Linked DNA regions of Callithrix jacchus. The protein of the gene in region 2 purifies or fractionates together with the protein of the main gene of each other region. This does not show direct contact. Links are inferred from orthologs where the notes say so. Each region holds a gene or a part of one and is shown on either strand. Other genes may lie near its edges.

Region 1 (3,752 bases), on a different chromosome or scaffold from region 2:
GAAGGGCCTGAACCTCAGTGGTGGTATCTGGAATGAATGGAGGCTACTACAGGCAGGACAAATACCAAATATCCTTCCCTCTTTGAGCCCAGGAACCAAATGGATTCAAATTATTTTCAGATGAATCTTTTAATATCTGAATTATTTTTACTTAGAGAAACTTAGATATAAAATAGTCAGATAATAGTGTCCCTCAGTATCAAAACACACTATTTGAACCCAAAAACCAATCAAAATAGGATAACGTGGGACACGTGTATGAAGTAGGTAACATTGGCAAACTCAGCAACTTATCAAATGTCAAGAACATCAGGAGAGAAAAAGTCAAGCTCACCTCCCAGGTTTTTGGTTAGGGTGACAGTGAGGATAAGGATAACACCGCCAATGGAGATACAGAAATAAAAGTCTACTGAAAATGCAAACTAGTCAAACAATCACTTTCTGCAGGAAAAATACAGTCTCCAGTAAGAAAAAAAACTGTTTCTATATTTTACCTAAGACACAAAACAGGATTCAGTACAAGTATTAAAAATTACGGGAAAATTGTCTTAACATGCAGTATCTTTAAATGGGACAAACGGGATCCAACCTGTATTACATAAAATTGAACTATGAGTAGATTACGATTCAGCTTGGCAGGTATGGAGAAATTTCAAAAAACAACAACAACAACAACAAAAAACCACAGAGATAGAGTCTCTGTGTCGCCCAGGCTGGAGTACAGAAGTGGCGGGATCTCAGCTTACTGCAACCTCCGCCTCCCGAGTTCCAAGTGATTCTCCTGCCTCAGCCTCCTCAGTAGCTGGGATTATAGGAGCGCCTCATCATGCCCAGCTAATTTTTGTGTTTTTAGTAGGGATCGCACCATGTTGGCCAGGCTGGTCTTGGATTCCTGACGTCAGGTGATCCGCCTGCCTCAGCCTAAAAAATGTACTTTAAATTCTAGGACTTTTTTGGAGATGGACTCTCACTCTGTCATCAAGCTTAAGTGAAGAGGCACGAACTCGGTTCACTGCAACCTCCGCCTCCCGAGTTCAAGCAATTCTTTTGCCTCAGCCTCCCGAGTAGGTGGGACTATAGGCATGCGTCACCATCCTGAGCTAATTAATTCTAGGACTTCTTATCCAAAATTATAGTTCAAATAAAAATACACTAAAAATTAACCTTAAATGTCTTTCGTACCAACTCCTCCCTGAATATAATTTTTTTTTGGAGACGGAGTCTCCCAGGCTGGAGTGCAGTGGTGTGATCTCATGCAACCTCCGCCTGCCCGGTTCAAGTGCTTATCCTGCCTCAGCCTCCCAAGTAGCTGGGATTACAGGCGCCTGCCATTTTGCTCGGCTAGTTTTTGCATTTTTAGTAAAGACAGGGTTTCACTATGTTGGTCAGGCTGGACTCGAACTGCTGACCTGAGGTGATCCACCCGTTTCAGCATCACAAAATGCTGGGATTACAGGCGCGGGCAGCCTCCTCCCTGATATTGAAGGTCAGTTCATGTTATTTAAAACGTTTCGAACTAACAAACGTTATTTCAGACGTTATCTACTTTTCTGTAGTCACCACTAATCAGAAAGCTCCAACAAAGCAGGGACTTTGCCTTTTAAAAAATTCTATTACCAGCGCCTAGTATATAACAGGTGCCCATAAACTATTTAGCGGACATTGACAATCCTTGACTCAACAAGAGAGAAACGAGCTAAATATTTATAATTGCTGGCTTAGTCATGAGAAACGTCTGCCTCTGTCCCAGGTTCAGTCTCAAGGAAAAACACTAAAACCAAATCTACTTGCAGGTAGTAATTATTCACATCAGTAAAAAGTCTTCAGTACATTCACCTAACCGACCAGGTTTATTTATTTCGAAAGAAATAAAACAGGAGAACTATGTATTATCTGGATAATCAGCCACAATTACGTTATGATAGTTTCTGCCCTATAGGATATTTTCCTAAATCAAAAGCCTACCTTAACCGGAAATTGAGGTGGAATAATCATTCATAAGTCTAAGGAGTATCAAAAGATAAAAACCAGCCGGGCGCGGTTGCTCACACTTGTAATATCAGCCCTTTAGGCGGCCGAGGCGGGCGCAACGCTTGAGCCTAGGAGTTCGAGACCAGGTCAACGAAGTGAGACACTGTCTTTATTTAAAAAAAGAAAAAACTAAAACAAAAACTTGTGGAGCCACAAGTCCTTCTCCGACTTAAAATGTTCTGCAAAGAGGTGTAATTATTTCCAGATAAGCTCACACAGCTTCTAAGTACTCTTAAGTGAGACTGGAATTTCACTCAAAAAGAAAATCAGTAACCACAAGAGCGACCTGCGCCCCGGCGGCGCCGCAACCTAAAATCTCTAAATCACTAGGCGGAAAGAAAGCGCTCGGCCTTTATACCCATCTCTTGGAAAACACCCGGGATCCCTGCGCTACCCACGCGGAAGCCCAAGCCAGAGAACGAGCGGAGGGCTCAGGAGGCCGGCCGTTAGCAGGCCGCGCACACGCGGCTTTCCCGCCTCCTGCAACTGGGAGACCTCAGCCTTCCGGACTCCGGGCCAAGCCCGCCCTTCACAGTCCCCAGAGCTACTTGGTCACCCCCTCACCTCACAAGCTTCATCTTAGCAGCGCCGTCACCCTTTGGTTCCGATAGCGCACAAAATCCAATTACCGAATACTGATCGACGGCAGTATGAATGGCCGGAAGCGTCTACTCCAGGGCCTTCGGACGTAAAGAGCGCGCAGAGCACTGAGGACGCACGGCGGAAACGCCGAGGCTGCGCTGGGCCGCACTCCCTTCCGGCCACGAGGAGCGCGACTACGGCCCCTGGCGGCTGGAGGTTGCCTTGAGACGGCAGAGGGCCTCGAGGGCTTGTCTAGGAGGAAAAATGTCCTGCAAGAGAGGGAGATTCCAAGAGAATAAATCCAGTTAATAGCATTGTCGCACTTTGGGAGGCCGAGGCGGGTGGATCACCTGAGGTCATGAGTTTAAGACCAGCCTGGCCAACACGGTGAAATTCCGTCTCTACTAAAAATTCAAAAGATTAGCTGGGCATGGTGGCCCGTGCCTGTAATACCAGCTACCCTGGAGGCTGAGGCTGGAGAATCGCTTGAGCCCAGGAGGTGGTGGTTTCAGTGAGCCGAGATCGCGCGATTGCACTCCAGCCTGGGTAACAAGAGCAAAACTCCGTCTCAAAAAAAAATAGTACTGTCACCATCACGCTTCTGAACAACAGGGCACCGTGTGTACAGCACCTAATATAAATTCCTTACTGAACGAAAAGAAGTTCTGAGAGAAACTCGAAGGATTATACTGACTCTGTTCCAACACCAGGAGGTCTTTGGCATTACTTAACATACCTGAAGAAAATCACACAATGGGCTGGGGGCCAGGTTCATGCTTGTAATCCCAGCACTTTAGAAGGCTGAGGCGGGTGGATCACGAGGTCAAGAGATCGAGACCATCCTGGCCAACATGGTAAAACTCCGTCTGTACTAAAAATAAAAAAATTAGCTGGGCATGGTGGCTCGCGCTTGTAATCCCAGCTACTCGGGAGGCTCAGGCAGGAGAATTGCTTGAACCCAGGAGGCAGAGATGCAGTGAACCAAGATCATACCACTGCACTCCAGCCTGGGAGCAGAGAACTCCATCTCAAAATAGAAAGGAAAATCACACAATGTAGAGGATTATTTTCACTTTAAATTTTGATCTATAAGAGAAACTTTTCAATCTTCTTCTTTCTCATCTCATCAAAAAAAATTT
Region 2 (3,284 bases):
GAAAATAATGTTAGCTCAGTGCCCTATACATGGTACAAATACATGCTTTTAAAAGTTCCAATTGGCCAGGCACGGTGGCTCATGCCTGTAATCCCAGCATGTTGGGAAGCCGAGGCAGGCAGATCATGAGGTCAGGAGTTTGAGACCAGCCTGGCCAACATGGTGAAACCCTGTCTCTACTAAAGATAAAACAAATTAGCCAGGCATGGTGGCGGGTGCCTGTAATCCCAGCTACTCAGGAGGCTGAGGCAGGAGAATCACTTGAACCCAAGAGGTGGAGGTTGCAGTGAGCCGAGATAGCGCCTTTACACTCCAGCCTGGGCGACAGAGCAAGACTCCATCTCAAAATATATATATATATATATATATATATATATATATATATATATATATATATATATATGTTCAGATTATAATACAGCTCTCAAGATGTGAGGCTGATAATTAAGACTGGGACACTTGAGATGGAGGGTCTTTAAAGTGGGGTTAGTATCTATCCCTATGCTGGTTCCTAAGAAGATGTAAGAGGAAGAAAGAGAGTTGCTTTGTTTTGAGCTTCCTGGAGAAAGTATGTGTGAGAGAATTGATAGGAAGTAGATCTCCACCTTTCAAAGGCATATTAGCATCTGCCTTATGTGTGGCACTATAGGAGTAAATGAAGTAGGCATAAGATCACCTTTGCTCTTAAAGAACTGAAAATCTTGTTAAGTTTTTAAAAGTCAAAAGTCTGAAAGTTGTTAAGACTTCCCAGATCCTAAAGAACATTCTAAAACCCGAGATCAGGCCCACGTAACCTGACAAAGTGAGCATACTCATTGACACTGGCACCCTCCAATCACCCCCAGCACCCTGCACCTTTTCAATGTTATAGGAAGCAGAAGCTTGAGCAGGGCCCGGACTATAATCTTGTCCTAGATCAAGTCTAGGCATGTGCCTCCACTTCCCATGGCTCCACTGCTTTTATTCAACCCTATGTAGGGACTGTGGCAGATGGAAAGCCAACAATCTTAAACCTCATTCCACGGTTGCACTGGGTGGTCAGAACACAGATGGAGGCAAGGGGGCCATCTTGTCATCCAGAGCATGAACTGAGTGGGAACTCTACCCATTGTCCCCACTGACAATCACATGGCCAGCTGCTGCCTACAATTTAGTGTTCTGTTGCTCCTCACACTTCTCTACCTCTCTCAGAGGAAGCTGATGAAGTGAAGGAAGGAAGTGGCCAGGAATACCTACACTAACAGCAGCCCCATATCTATGAGTAAGGTCTAGTTTCCACTTCCAGTCACCTTCCAGCATTCTGCCCTTGCTCACAGATAACCCTATCTATAAGCACACTTCCACTCCCATCTTTGCAGAAGCCTAGCCCTTCTCCCCAGCCATACAGCTGTATCATGCATTAGAGTTTGTATTAAAAAGGCATTGAGTTGTATTAAAAATGAATGTAGACCAGGTTTGGTGACTCATGCCTGTAATCTCAACACCTTGGGAGGCTGAGGCAGCTCAATCACTTGAGGTCAGGAGTTCGAGACCAGCCCGGGAACAGGGCAAAACCCTATCTCTACTAAAAGTACAAAAATTAGCTGGACATGGTGGCACATGCCTGGAGTCCCAATTACTTGGGAGGCATGAGAATCACTTGAACTTGAGAGGCAGAGGTTGCAGTGAGCTGGGATCATGCCACTGCACTCCAACCTAGGCAAGAGTGAGGTTCCATCTCAAAAAAAAAGCAATGTAGTGCCAGACAGGGTGGTAAGAAGCTGAGTTCTGGGTAGTAGCTGTGTTCCTAGTATTCCTGATATAGCAGTAAGCTTGACCTATAGATGTTTTACTTAAGATAAAAACAAAAAACAAAATTACCGAATTCAAGAAATTACAGGCTTATCTAGTTATCTATGCGTGTTTATTTCCTCTTATGGTTTCAGGTTGGTTTCAAAATATTTAAATTAAAAACATATTTCAGTTTACTGTCTTTAGAAGACAGTTACCAGTTTAAAAGACAGTTCTGTTATTCAACTCAATGCTCAGGTAAACGTATATCTTAATTAAGTTTGATTTAACTCTCCAGGGGGAACACACCTGAAACTAGAGGAACAGCTTATGTGGTCTATGAGGACATCTTTGATGCCAAGAATGCATGTGATCACCTATCAGGATTCAATGTTTGTAACAGATACCTTGTGGTTTTGTACTATAATGCCAACAGGGTAAGTATAGCCAAGTTCTCCTTGTATGGTGATCTCATTTGAAAATTAGTGTAGAACTGTGCTGTGACGATATATGTCTACTGTGACTATTTTTTGGCTAATGCTATTGGTGAAATTTATTTGGCTGTAGATCGGTAATTCAACTTTGGTGCTTACTGCATTTCCAGGCATTTCAGAAGATGGACACAAAGAAGAAGGAGGAACAGTTGAAGCTTCTCAAGGAGAAGTATGGCATCAACACAGATCCACCAAAATAAATGTTTTCTACATTTTCATTTTGGACTGAAACCATGAATGACAACTACCATCTTTTCCCTTTTTTTCCTTTTTAATTAATACTAAATATTGTGATTTCTTATTTTAGGTTCAAAATGACCTTGAAACTTTGATACATATCAGAATACATGATATTAATAAACCTGTTGCTTTTTGTGAAACACGTCTGTCTTTTCTTTTGAACTTTCCCTCCCTGTTTGATACCAGGAAAAAAATAGTTGAAGCTTATCAGGAATTGTAGGTGCTCCTAGGGAGTCCGAGTTTCTTGAAAACAGGACCTCTTTATATTCTTAATGCCTCCGGGGTCCAGTGCAGTGCTTAGCCGTCAAAGGAACTTGCTGTTTATTGAATGTCTATTAATAATGGATCTTTATAACAACTCAGTGAAGATAGGTATTTGCATTTTGCAGGCGAGGAAACCAAAGCTCATGATGTTGGGTGAATGAATAAAATGCTAACCTACAAAGCTGGTGTAATAGCAACCAAGCCTTTACATTTGAATGATGCTTGCTTTATAGTTAACAAAATACCTTTGTCAGTATGGGTACCCTTGTCTTAGAACAGAGGTCTATTCTAGAAATGGTCATTTAGATGGTAGTACACTGTTAGAAACTTAGATTTGCCTCTCTAAATTTTTTTGAAAATTATTATGGGTATATAATGGTTGTCACATTGGTAGAAGTTTGAGAGCAAGCTGCTTGGATAGTGGTGTTGGTTGTTATGTGTCTAAAATTGTATTTATGTAGCCTTTTCTTTTAGTTATCAAGCGTCTGTATTTTGGACCTTAGCTCATAAAATATC

What was found. The genes of interacting proteins can lie anywhere in the genome.
Region 1: the proteins of SF3B6 (region 2) and SNRPD1 fractionate together in Homo sapiens (co-fractionation; 3 studies listed by BioGRID and IntAct, with this or other methods). This does not show direct contact. The link is inferred for Callithrix jacchus from reciprocal best matches to the Homo sapiens genes SF3B6 and SNRPD1.

What each region holds. Positions count from the first base shown.
Region 1 is NC_133514.1:64,585,725-64,589,476, reverse strand, and holds the start of SNRPD1 (small nuclear ribonucleoprotein Sm D1), read right to left. Parts: upstream 2,707-3,752; 5' UTR 2,610-2,706; coding exon 2,596-2,609; intron 1-2,595. UniProt on the Homo sapiens protein: Plays a role in pre-mRNA splicing as a core component of the spliceosomal U1, U2, U4 and U5 small nuclear ribonucleoproteins (snRNPs), the building blocks of the spliceosome.
Region 2 is NC_133515.1:91,183,856-91,187,139, forward strand, and holds the end of SF3B6 (splicing factor 3B subunit 6), read left to right. Parts: intron 1-2,068; coding exon 2,069-2,207; intron 2,208-2,374; coding exon 2,375-2,464; 3' UTR 2,465-2,644; downstream 2,645-3,284.